Drosophila melanogaster: one gene and its partner. The gene in region 2 interacts genetically with the main gene of each other region. Each region holds a gene or a part of one and is shown on either strand. Other genes may lie near its edges.

Evidence for each region.
Region 1: of Octbeta2R (region 2) and rsh, changing one enhances a phenotype caused by changing the other (phenotypic enhancement), as found in Drosophila melanogaster (one study listed by BioGRID).

Annotation. Positions count from the first base shown.
Region 1 is NC_004354.4:13,027,340-13,034,338, reverse strand, and holds the start of rsh (radish), read right to left. Parts: upstream 3,585-6,999; 5' UTR 3,255-3,584; coding exon 3,184-3,254; intron 2,625-3,183; coding exon 2,519-2,624; intron 1,948-2,518; coding exon 1,423-1,947; intron 1,097-1,422; coding exon 171-1,096; intron 100-170; coding exon 1-99.
Region 2 is NT_033777.3:12,591,975-12,598,973, forward strand, and holds the start of Octbeta2R (octopamine beta2 receptor), read right to left. Parts: upstream 3,131-6,999; 5' UTR 2,536-3,130; intron 2,025-2,535; exon of another isoform or gene 1,509-2,024; intron 1-1,508. UniProt on the Drosophila melanogaster protein: Autoreceptor for octopamine (OA), which is a neurotransmitter, neurohormone, and neuromodulator in invertebrates. Essential for ovulation and fertilization.

The DNA of each region.
Region 1 (6,999 bases), on a different chromosome or scaffold from region 2:
TGGGTGCTGGAGTCGAAAAATGTACTGGTTGTTTCCACGGTCATGGTGCCGATGGTGCCGTCAATTATCTGCGCCGACGAATCGCGTCTGCCACGATAACTGGAAGTACAGGTGTATAATTGAATATAATCATATACTTATTGTAACAAGTGTTAAATATCAGCACTCACCGACAGACGTCGTCGCTCTGCGAGCTCTGTCGCCGGAAGTTCCTGCAGCGTATCATCTCCTCGGTGGTCGACTGCCGGCGGAATCCCCTGGCGATCAGTATCTCCTCGGTGGTGGACTGCCTCCGAATGGCCGGCCGCTGGTTCTGCTCGACGGTGGTCTGCGTTTGTGGCCTAGAACAGGGACTTGGATCCCGGGAGGAGCAGCAGCTATTCGAGTCCGGCGATCTCGGCGATCTGGCTGCCGAACTGCTCTGCCTGCGGAGTGTATGCCGCCTTGGACTACCATCCCGCTCGTGGGATCGATCCGGCGATAGATGCGTTCGCGAATCTCGACGACCGCCACGCGACGCGCTATCCGGTGACAGGGAATCCCGTCGAGAGGTGCGCCTCTCGCAATCGTCCGGCGGATCGGGACTGAGTGCGGGCTGGGAGCCACGCCTACTGCCGCCCGGCAGGCAGCCCTCGTCGAAGGCGGTCGCCTGGCGTTGCAGCCGCTGTAGGCGTGGCGCCCGCTCCGGACTGACGCCTGCCTTGGAATCCCGCCGATTGACACGGCCGCACTGCGTCTGCGAATCGCGGCGACCCTTCGGCGCCGTCGGACTCGTTGCCGGTGGCGTCACGGAGCTAGTGATGATCGTTGGCGGCGGCAGGGCTTGGCACGCGGAGTCCACCTGCTGATGGGCCAGGTGGTGAGTGCTCGAATGCGTCGAGATCAGGGGCATGGAGTGGTCCGAACAGGAGCCGGCGGAACTGGTGGACGGGCGCTGCTCCTGCCGAAAGTTTGGGAATTCCGGCGCGGCCAGTGAGTCGCGCTTCTTGGTCATCTGGTATTTGCCGGGTGGCGGTGGCGTGGTCACCCGACCGGCCACATTGCTATCGCGTCGACTGCTGGACAGGTAGCTCTCACCGGATCCGCGCCGGGATGCCTGATGGTTTGGTGGTTCGGTGGTTGGTAGTTGCCAGGATGTGCGGTGGTTTGGTGTGGAATGGTGGGAAAGAGAGAGAGAGAGAGAGAACAGCGCCACGGGTTAGGGGTCAAGGTTGTGGTCAAGGTGGAGCCAAAAGGTGCTGGTAATTACTTAGAACTCAACTGGCAAATGCACTTGCTTGGAAATGTTGCTTCGACTAACTTAATCGGTTATTTATTTATAATAAAAACATATTTAAGTGAATTTGCCAGCAATCTTATATCTTATTGCCTAAGGCAGCCGATTTTGTATCTCTATAGAGTATATATGCGCTAAATACTTACGCTTTTAGAGCACTCGACGACGACGGGCACGGAGACGCTGGGCTGCTCCTCAACTGCCCCGCTTTCGCGCCGATTCCAGTGCCTGACGAACTCGGCGGTATTCGAGTCTCGTCGCGACCTCATGCTCCGGATGCCCGAGTCCGCGGATGATTCGCGTCGCTTGCGTGGCGCCATGTAAGTGGTGCAGCCACCACCACCCGATCCACCGGCACCCGTGCTCGCATCGGTGGTGGTTGAGGTGCGCCACGGCAGACTGCGGGCCAGATCCGCCAGCGTTTCGCGTCGATTCAGCTGCGCCTTGGAGCGGGATGCCTGCTGCAGCTGTTGTTGCTGCTGCTGCGAGTGGTGCTGCTGCTGCTGTTTGGTGCCGCCGCTCCACTCCCGCAGGATGTCCGTCAGCTGGGCCAGCGAGCTGCGCCGCCGGCGCTGCAATCCTGGCGGCGGCGAGGTGCTCGGCGGTGTGGTGATCTGGGCCGCTGAGTCCCGTCGTCCGCCCAACCGCTGCCGTATGGTGGACTCCTCCAGCTGAAAGCGGAACATCGTATTATTCTCAAAACGATCTTCAAGAATTATTCAACGATCTATAGCCATAAGGTTCGGTTACACTGAAAGTGGTAGTTGGGAAGTTCTCTATAGATGGCCACTTTTAAGTTGAAAACTTTTGTTAAATACAAATGTAGATTTAAAACATTAAATTAAATTTATTGAATTTGAGGCTGCAGTGAATTTATTTTAAATTTCAAAAAGAAAATGTTTCAAATTAAAACTAAATGCTGAGATATATTTTACATTTTCGATTACAAATTATTTGTCGATTAACGAAAATGTGTTTAATAAATGTTCAGTTTCATAATTTTCTGTAAGATTTGAATAAATTTTATCTTATATTGTTTTTTTTTTTTTGTAAATAAGCTAAAGTGTTTGTCAATTGAAAGCAGCTCTGATTTAGTTAGCTCAAGCTCTTTTTCAGGCCACAAGCACTTCCTCAGAACCATCAAAAATGGTTCTTTCGCATGAATTGTTTATTCACTTTGGGAAATATTTAAGATATATATATATATGTAACATAATATAATTGCGAATTAGTGCGACCCACCTGCTCCCGCACAAGATCGTCCCAGCCGTTGCCGCCCTGCCACACCAAACCCACTTGGTGCGACATGATGGGCAGGTTGCACACAAAGCAAATGGCTGTCATAGTCCTGAAAATACACAAGACGGCGATTAGTGAATTGTAAAAACCTACTATAAGTTAACTTAATGACAAGCAAAGTGCATGCAGTAAAAAAAAGGAGAAGCGAGGAAAAGAGGGAAAATTGAAGATGGGACAGTGTCATGCGGTGAAGAATGTCTGAATGGCAGATGTTATTTTTGGATCGGCTGCTTGGCTGCAAAGCTTTTCTCGAGAAAAAGAGCTTCGTCCTTAGGATATGAAAGGATACGAAAGCCAAAGGCTCGAAGTTGATTGGAAAGCTTGGAAAAGTTCGAAAAGCTGTTAGTGTGTTAGTTTGGCATGCGGTGAATGTGGTTAAGGATGTGAAAGCTCCAAGGTGAGAGTCCTGGCTTTGGTTTCAGTTTCAGTTTTAGTTTGACGTGCATATAGATAAAAGCGTAGAGAAGAGGAAAGCTTTTTGTTTTTTTTTTTTTTTTTGGTTTTTCGTTATTTAGTTGGTGGAAAAGTGAAAGCGCTTCCGCTGATTTTTGAGGTCAGGTGGCGTTTGTGGTGTTTTAGAGTTAAAGAATTTCCTCTGGATTGCTAACTTTTTGCGTATGACCACGCAGGTGCTGCTGCACGGCTGATCCATGGACCGGTAATGCCGCAGTTTTGACATGGCGCATGTTCTGGTTTCTGTGGCAGCGCCCGCCGATCCTCGAACGTGAGCGGTATCCTTCGGCTCCTGCCGCTCCTGCGGCCCTCCTTTACTCGGCTATTTCCGGCCTTATCCTCCTCCTTGCCTGTATTTAATGTTCGAGTTCTTGCGAATGATTGCGAATTTCTTTCGTGGTTTTCGGCTAGCCGAAAGTGCGGTGATTTTTGGGTGTGTTTTTTTTTATATTCGTGGGTTTTTTTTTCAGTGGGGCTTTTTGGGTTTTTTTTTTTAATTTTTGGAGGGGGTGGTACTGATGGGTTTGCTACACACACAGAGACACAGAGATACACTGGAAAAAATCGAAGAAAATAGTATTTGGTGGTTTAAAACGCATTGGATGGGGGCAATTTTCGGATGGCTGGCAAATCTCAATTTACATAAGGGATTGGGATTTACTAATTGGGTCAAACTACAGGTAACAGTATGGGGTCCTTTACTATAGTAACGTTTTGTAAAATATATATTGATATTTATTGTTTATACCTATGAAAAATATTAAATTAATAAATATAATTATAATATAAATAATTATTCTTTATATTAATAAAACATAATGAAAGTATATATAAAGTGAGGCCATGCCAGATGCTTTAGTTATTGTTTCTTATCAATAGAGTACTTAAATATTTCAATTTCCCTTGTCAATTCAAAGTTGCCTTCTACCTTCCCCTTTTTGTATTCATTCGCATTTATTTATTGTAAAAGTTGCGCTGCAGTATTGCGTATAATTGGTTAAATCCTTCATACGCACCGTTGCCCAAAGAAATCGAGAGGCAACGGACCAAATACTATGTATTCGTACTTATTTTCGCAGAAATACAAGTAAGCTCAAGACACAATGTTCAATTTCCCAGAAGGTTGCCACAATTCAATTTGGTTCTTATTACTTAGAATATAGATGGAAAGTCCTATTTATATGTTAGTAATGCACCAATTATTAAATTTAATGTTAGTACGGCTTGAGAAGATTGGCATTGAGGCAAGAAATATGAAACTTATGGGATTCTTAAGTAAATTGTGTAATAACAAACTTTAAAGGCAAGTTTAGTTTGGCCATCAAAAATGCAGGTGTTTTGCTCAATTTTGTGCTTACTGTACTTGACTTTCGTTTATGTTTGCTCACGAAATGATGTGGTTTCTGGGCAGCAGAAACTGCTGCACTTTAGCCAGATGCCAAATGGAAACAGTCGGACCAGAATTCCAGATGAACTAATGCTCGAAGCTGGTTTCGCAGTCGCAATCAAAATGGAGTATCAAGTTATTTGGCCGCAAGTTTATGGCCATAAACTTAATAACTGCCAGCCGGCAGGACCTACCATCATCCTTCTGTTTCTGTTTCTATGTACTATGTATGTGTGCAAGGACATAGACAACGCACCGGAAGTTGTCGAATGTGTGGCGGGTTCATAAAAGTCCGAGTTCGAGTCGGAGCTCAACTTCTCCCGCCAGTCATTGAAACACTTGGCCAACGACGTAGTTCGAAGTACCTTAGTTTCCCCCAGCATTTTTCGCACAGATCCCTCTGTGTGTGTGTCGGTAGAAATTGTGAAATGCTGAGGGGAAAGCAGTTTTGAGGCCAATGAGGACACACATTTCGATTGAAGCTCTGCAATTTAAGTGATACGATGATGTTTCCTTTTTTGCCGGTATTTCGAAGCACCGACTGTTTGTAATTGAGCGGCCCTAAACTGAAATTCTTTTGCCCTATACAAGTTGGAGTTGTGATCTCTTTGAATATGTAATGTTGCTTGGCGGGATGGTTTTTTTCATAAATTTAAAAATCATATTAAATTTTTTTAGCTGCTTGCGGACTTTAAAGGCATTTAGTTGTGATTTTATCAATTTTATGCTTAATATTAGTAGTAAGTTTCCTTGCCGTTTTAGTAGTGCACTTTGCTGTCTGAATTTTTGGCTTTTGCATTTTTGAAACTTGGGAAAACTTTGGTCCGGGACTTAATCAATTTCAAGTGCACAACAGCAGCTGGCAATCGCTGTCCACCGGGAGTCCAATGGATGAAGCCTCATCATCCATGGGATCTGCAGACACGGTTGGAGGACGCAGGATGGAGAAATGGCACCTGGCAGGACGAAGTGGAGTGGGGCTCAAGTGGGCGACCGGTTGATTGACAGCTGTCAATTTGCGTTGCCTGTGAAGTGTGTGCCACGAACAATTTTCAACTCAATTTTCCCACTTTTCCCTGTGTGTGTCCTTCGGTCCGGCTTGCGGCTAAGCCGGAGCAGTTGTACCTGGACACGGACGCAGATGGAGATGAAGCTTGAGCTGGAGCTGGAAATGGGGATTCCGGCGTGCGAATTGCGGATCTCTCGGGTGGTGATGGTAAAGCGTGCGAAGAGTGGGAAATTGGGAGGCTGAGAGGCTGCATTTGTTTCACCTCCGTTACGTTTCCAATCAGCCCAGTTGCTCAACAACTGGGGCGAAAAAAATAACAGAACACGTCTCAACAACTCAACAGCCAGCCACTTTTGTACTTTTGCTGCAGACAAACACACACACACACACACACTCACCCACAGTACTCTAAACCGAATGCAATTTTCTGCAAACTTAATAAACTTTCGCAGGTGAAAAACTCCTTAAAAAGTTACTCAACACTGCGGGCTAATTAAAAGTTATGCCAAGGTTCCACATTTAATCCACAAAGAAAAATGTTGAGAGTTTATGCTCATCATTTGGCGGTAAGAAATATATTTGTGCACACATTTTAGAAATTGTTGGTGTTTGTTTGAACATAAAAGAGATTTTAAACGTAAATATGTGCAAAGCTGTACACGAGCTTTTGTTTAATTTAATGACAATAGTTATTAATGTGAAATAAATTTGCACAATTTATGTGGACTTATGTGTTATGTACTGACTGCTATTTGTTTCTTCCGCGAGAAAAAAGAAAAACGGCGCAACTACTGCGGGATTTGATGAGCCAAATCCCTTGACTCCATTAATCTGTATTATATTTGGGAACTCATTTATCTACCCACCCGCAAGAATTTCACCCACTTTTTCCCCCATTTCCACTTTGTTCCAACGCTAAATGAAACAATTTAGTTAAATGGTGAACATTTTACGTTTGCCATGGTCTGCGGTTCTATTCAGTTTTCCTTCCCTTCTTACTCTCATTTCTATGAATTTTTTTTTTGTGAACTGTTGTCGTGGCAATAAAATGCAATTCGTAGGAATGAAAATAAAAATAAAAAATAGAAAAAAAAAGGGCGAGTACTTTGGACACCTGGCGGACATTGGCCGTTTTTCTTTTGATTCTCAGTCTTCTAAGTGACTTTTCGTGTCCTGGAATGGGCTAGGATGGTATGGATTTTCGGGTGGTTCCTTGGACTGCTGGCGTCTGCTATTTAGTTAATTTTAGAGCGTCTGTCGTCCAGCCCCCTTGAAATATTACTTGGGTTCTTTGCCAGCAGTTTTCCTTTTGATGTAATTGCGAGGGATTCCTGTTGGTCCTGTCCGGCATCCTAAAACTCATGGTTGGTGAAGGGGAGGGGGGTGCTGCTCCAAGGATGAGGACAGTACGGTGCGGCTATTCATTGATTAACTGCCAGGACTCACTGGAGACACGTGAAAAGTGAAAAGTGGGGAAGCTCTAGCTTGACGGCTCTTGGGGGCATTTTCATTTAACATTTTCATTTTCATTTTCGTTTTCGCCTTCGTTTAAGATTTAGCTTTTTATACTTGGCA
Region 2 (6,999 bases):
CCCTTCAAGCTCGCAGCCTACTCTCTTCGACGTGTAAGTATGTGTGTGTGTGTGTGAATGCTGTGGGCCTTGTCGATAATTTTCTGCCTTTCTACACACTCAATGGCTGCCTTTGACACAGCCAGAACATCTTCAGCGTGGCAGCGCTTTTGAAACCACAAATTACATTGAAAATTCCTGCTTGATTGAAGTTGATTGAGCAAGAAAATGCCGACAACGCCCCAGATTCGCCGTTGGTGTCCAAAGACATAGCACAACATCTCCGCATTTCCCCCGAGGAGTTGCTATTTAAGGTAAAGTTTTAAACACCTGTCGTTGAATATCGCCATATAAACCCACCCCCCACACCACCCATCTGGCCAACGACTCAATATCATTAAGTATGCGCGTTGGGGGGTGGTTATATGTGTGTTTGCTGGAACGGCCTGCGGTTATTTGCCGATTTAACGGGTATTTCCGATACAAGCCGCAAGCCAGCTTCGCCACTCGAAGCTCAAAGTATCATAATTAATGAGCCAGCCCACCTACAAACGCCCGCCCGCCCTCTACCGCAAAAACTAGGCGTGGCCGCTCGCCAAAGTGTAATCTCATTTAAATTGCATTTTCAACGGAGCCGACAGCAAAAATACAATTGCGTTAATTTCTGCATCGGACGTACTTTGGCCCGCCATTTTGCACTTCCTCTTTTGACCATTGAAGTTGAACGCAAATTTGGGCCTAATTTCGCTGTGATGGCAGTTTTGTTAATAGCACGTTATAATGATTTCCAGAAAGCCCTCTTAAATTTGATTTCCCATCAACGCCTATAAAAAGTGCAATCTGATAACCGAACTGTTGATTATAAACTTAGGACGAATGCAAAAATTAATTGAAATCGGCAGGCGTACTTAACACTGATTAGATTTCTATAACAGTGATTGTTTTGTAAGGTCTCCGGGTATTAAGTTATATTAATTATAAAATGTTTTAGAACTATATATATATATACTATATACTTTTGATTTGGAAACCAAAAGGTATATTAGAGCACTCAATTTCCAATAAAACAAGACCAAATTAGACAAATTAAATAATTGTCAGTTCATTCAAAACAAGAATAAGATGATTACTATATGTGTGCTATAATTACGGATCTAATATCACCTTCGATATCGCTAATAACCTACTCCACAATTAATTCAATTGAAATAATAATAACGCCAGACCGACTCAGAAAATTGCTCAAGTCAATCGGCTTAAGTCTTAACTCTCCCTCTGAGCTTCGGACACACATTATCGTCAGCTGAACTGTCGCTTATAGCTAAAGCTTACTGTATTTAATTTATGGATGCTGCAGATTGCTTTACGTATAAGCTGATTGCTAGATTATTGTGCAAACATTGGGTCCGTTTTGTCTGGCATATAACAAATCAATGGCATAAATGCCGGCAGACAGTATACACTCGAAATAAGACAAATACTAGATGCCTTGTTAATTAAAATCAAATATTATTTAGTCTGATACTCACCATTTGCCAAATGGATGTCGCAGATTTCCATAGCCAAAGAGCCATTGAGAGCCTGAAAGCCAAGTCAACAGCCAAACAAAACACACAGAAGTTATTCGAAACGGCTTTGGGGAAGCTGAATTTGCATTTGAAATCTTCCGAGTTTTTGGCTCCGAAGAGTGGAAATGCAAATCGAATAAATAGAAAGTAAATAGAAGGCACTGGCAAGCCAAATCACTCAGTGCACACAGAACGACTGATGGAGAGACAACCTTTAAAGAAATGACTTGCCATCATCCGCCCATTGTCATCATCATCATCGTCGTTGTCGTCATCGTCATCGCCCTCAAAGATTCTGTGGATGCGTTTGTTGTGGCTTTAAGTGTGTGTGACCCCAGGGGCATTGGCAGTGGGTTGGAAAAGTGGGTGGCAATAGTGTTTGCTGAGGAGGATGGGCTGGATTCTGGGAGGTGCAGAAATGCTGACTATGCTGCTCAGCCCGGTCATGTTGCGTGCCGAGCAGCTTAAGTCGTTATGAGATGACAATTTCTATACCGACTGAGCTGGGACTGTGACTGAGCTGCGGCCATATCAACACTTCCGTTTGGGATACACTGGACAAATTTGACATTCCTATTGTCTCTTTAAAAGTCACAGTTAGTTCACAAGAAGTGTGTAGATTGGGTTACACAATATCATTCTTGTAATTTTTATGACTGTATCATGGCACACAATTTATTGAATAATTTCTGTAATTACAATTACCAAAGAAAGCACTAAAATAGAATTAAACTAAGTTACCTTCATTTTAATTTGAGGATAAATTTAATATTATAGTTGTTTCATTTTCAATATGTGACGAATCACTTCCCTATTTTAAGACTACAGATATTAATGTAGAAACGTACCAATAATGTGAAATTTCAATTTATATGCTTCGCTATCACAAATTACAAAAATTACAATTCATAAAAAGAATACCTAAAATTCTGGCATTTAAATAAGCATTTCTATATTTCTTTTCTTTATTTACACTAAGCATTGGAACGCCAAAGATCGGGTTAACCTTCCCGCTGCTAATAGGCCATTGATCACCGCTTATGATATTTGTTTTATGTGTATTTCACTGCCCCCCAGAACATGAGCCCCCACTTCCACCCACCAGCTACTTTGATTGCAGTGCCCGGGGTACTTGGCATTACGGGTTTGTGTGTTATTTTGAGTGTGTGTGTGAGTGTGAGTGTTCGACTGTGGGTCTTGGCTTATAGATGAGTGGCTCTGCCGTCCGTGATTCGCTTTGGCTGTTCTTATTTATGTTATCGCTATCGTAGCGGCGGCGATAGCTTCTGTATGACTATTGCTCCCTCCAGCGTTGGGCCCTCGACTGTTGCATTTGCATTCAGCATTTCGCATTTCGCATTTGCACTGGGCACATAACAAATAACGCTGGTGATTGCGATTAGGGTTTGTGCATATTTCACTGCCTTTCGCTGAGCGTGTTTCTTTTCGAAAATATTTCTCCTTTGGCCATTTGGCATGTAAAACTGAACGGACGTGCGACGGCTGGCATTTTGCATTAGTTTTATACACGTGTATATAAATTTGCGCGACAACATTTTATTAATTGCACCCAATAATCACACAAACGAAACCGAAAAGCTTAAACGACGGCGCAACCAAAAGCGGAAAAACACAAGGGCAATGCGACAAGAGCAGATGCAATAATATTTTCTCGAAATATATAATATACATTTATATTATTTCCGCGAAGGCTGCTCACTTTTTTCTTTAATTTGATTTTCGCACAAGATTCTTTTTTCTTAAATTAACTGAAAAATGCATTTGGCGGCCCAGCGGAAGCGAGCGCACAATGTCACCGAATGGCGACGGCCAACGCTGCGTATACGCAATGGCACGCGCGCGCGACATTTACCGAAATTCATCCGCACCGTTGCCATCAGCAATCAATGCGCTTGTAATCTCCAGCTGTAATCATTTATTCCAGCTGCTTCTGCTGCTGCTGCTTCTTCCTCTACTTTCCCCCCCGTATTCTGTTCTTGGTAGATCCGAAGCAGAAAAAAGGGAAACAGAACCAGTACCAGTACAAGAATCGCAATCGGAATCTGTAGCGCGCCTATTTCCTCTCAGCATGCGACTGCGGCTGCCTTACGAATATTTTCACAAACGGGCCAAATTGGCGAGCGGACTGCGAACGGCGGACTCTGCGAACAGCGACTGCGACTGCGGCTGGCTGACAGACGAATGAACCACCGAATTTCCCTGAGCGCCGCACGAAGCTCGCCAGCTCGTTAACTCAAAGACTGAGAAACTCAAAACTCAGATACTCGGAAGCTCACGGATACACGGAAACACGGACACAATGACACACTTACAGGCTGCGTTCCCAGCTCGGAATGTGCCCCCAAAAACACGACTGCGAATACACACTCGGTCGACGCCGACGCCAACGCCTCTGCTCGGCAGCTGCTGCAGAGCTTCAACAGCGACGTCGGCTGCGCGCATGTTGCACTCAAAGTGGGCCGCCGCTCAGTCGCTCAAGCGCTCGCCCAGTCGCCCGCTCACCCACTCAAAGGCGAATCAAAAGCGAATGGCGACAAACGAGCGCTCGACTGTTAGCCAGCTGTTAACTGCTCGGCAGAGCGGCCTGTAAAAGTGTGTTAATGGGTTACAGCCGTTTACAGAGCTGTTGCTGTCGCAGACGAGGAGATGCTGTAAATGGAACAAAATGGCATTCTATCAACAGAGCTAACTTTCTCAGTCAGAAATAAGTCGAAAGACAAAAAAAAAATACTAGTACCTAATTAATTTAACAGTTCCATATTTATATTGAAGGATTATATAACTATCAACACTGTAAAAAAAAAAAACAGCGCGTAATTAACCCCCTGTATTCATCACTTCAAATCATTCTTTTATTAATAGAGCAGTTTATATACTTGCATATAAAACCTTTTCGTAACATGCACTAAATCGATTTGATAAGGTATATGTGAGTAAGATATGTATGTACATTCGATTTTGGAAAGCTGTTGCGCGGATGTTTTCCCCCGAGTATTGTTCCTGCTCGATGGAAATGTTACGCATACGCCATGCTGTCTGATTGTGCTTGTACTACAAGCGGCTCAATATTGGCGTGACAGCACGGTACTGCTGCCTAAGCCATTAAATGCATGACAAATTTGGCTTGTCAACAAGCGGAAGACGAGGCTAAAGTTTTCCCAACCATAAATTAGCGCTACGCAGGCCGCCCACGAAAAAGTCGCAAAGTAAATTCCAATTAAAATTTCAGCGTAAATTCCGCAAAATGTAAATTATTTGAAATGAAGTCGTCGTCGGTCGGTTGTCGCCGGTTGCTGTATGCTGGATGTTGGTTGTTGATTTGCTATAGCTTGTGGCAGCAGCCGCTTTCGTCGGTGTTTTTGCATCTGCGGTTGCGGCGCCGCCAGTCGACAAACACCCGTTGGTGGAAAAAGGGGACACACACAGCACACATCCCCCACGCAATATCATACCCCATCTCCCAACATCCATTTACCCATCCTGTACGTAATCACCCCTTTTTCAGCGCGTTCAGTTAAATTGTTTGTCCTCGCTTGACGTGCTCCCAGAATCCCGTCATCGAAATCCGAACTTACGGCCCAGGCAACTTGAAATTGCTTTGTGCTGGAATCCTTTAAGTAGACTATAAATACCACCATCCCTTCAACGCAGACCGAGGAAGACGAACGCCTTGCAGCGTTTTTGACATCAAACGTCTTCACCTCTCGGAACCTGCATGCACATCGCACATACATACATATATATAGATTGAATACATACAATATATATCCATCGATATATTGACGGCTGTCAGGAAAGTCTGGCGTTGCCAGCAGATATGCGCGCACACGTGGGACTATTAGACTTCAATAAATTCAATTTACACAAATTTCAAATCCAATGCCCAACCCCCCAACATGTTGGAACGCCCTTGGCAAAAGACGCAACTTGCATCCGCAAACAAATCAAAAGGCAAATATATAAAAACAAGGACCAAATCAACAGGGTCAGTGCGAATGCTAAATGCCCTTGACTTGAACATATATTTTATTTAAGGAAATTTAGTTTACTTTCGTCATAAATACTTGACTTAACTTTATCAAGATTTATATCTTTCGTAATGGGTTTTATTTATTTTACTTTTTGTACTTGCAATTAAATCATAAATCGCATTTGTTTGCACTTATGAAAAGAAAGCTAAAATGCTTTACATTGTATTCTTTTGGATAAAAGCTTTAATGGAAATGTGAAATTTATATCGTAAAGCGTAGATGCCAGTTAATCTTATTAGGGTATTTTTCGAGTAGAAGTCAATCCGTGTGCCAACACATACAATACATACAAGAAAATTTAAATTGGGCACACGTCGTAGGGCAAACATCAAGGGACCGGTCCCAAAAGGCCTTCCTCTGACCTCCGCCCCCAGACCCCATCCACATATTAGGCGTGTTTGCGGCAAAATAACCAAAAAGTATTGGCACAAGCCTTCAGCTGCATCTGTCAAGCATTTTCCGAGGGTCTAGCTACTGGTGGGTGCATGTGGGAAAGGATATGGCTGCACTAAGCGGATTCTGCTGGCGGGAGAAGGGATCCTCCTAAATTGTCATACCATGGAGACCATGGACCGGGGACCACAGCCCACGGCTGCCGATCAAATGCAGCTCAATATGCGGTGTTCGACGCCAAACTGTTTGCGCCAAAATCGAACGCTGCGTGGCATGCGGGCAGCATAGCAAATGACTTTTGATTGACATGTTTGACATTTTGCACGACTGGCAAAAATTGCTGGATCAGGATGGCCCCCTTTCGGCCACGCCCACATTTATTGCATTTTAAATGCGTCAGCATAATTCCCCAGTTTCTTTTTGAAATGAAACTCTGCGGAGGAGGCGATTGGACTGGGTGCACAGCGAAAAAATTGTGAGCATTTTATGCATATATTCGTAAGTTAATGCTTTAAGTCATCTTAAATTTAATTTGCCAACTTTTTAAGTAGCTATCCTGTTGAAATATATATTTGTTATTTCTTGCTGGTAGAAAATTCAAAAGCTTGCAGCTTTTCGGGGGGAAGAACTAACAATCCACACACGGAGCAACTATTCCATGTGCTCGTCTATCCCAAAAGGTTGCGGCTGCTTCAATTGCTCCAAAAAGAAAACAACCTCAAGGAGCCCTCGCCTGCGCATGCTTTCTTTAGCTGGTAAAAAGGAAAACAAAGAATCTGCCCCGTACACATGTGGGCGGCTTGCGGGCGGAGTGGGCGTGGCCGGGGTCGAAAGGAGGGGGCAGGGGCATGGGTTCTTATACACACAAACATTTGCACAGTTCAATGCACAATTGATGGCAACAAAGCGCAAATGGAAGCGGGGCTCCTAGAGCTCCACCACCAACAATATCCAGCATATGAGTGGATTATGGCCCAGCAGGCAATAGCAACCGATTCCACATATAC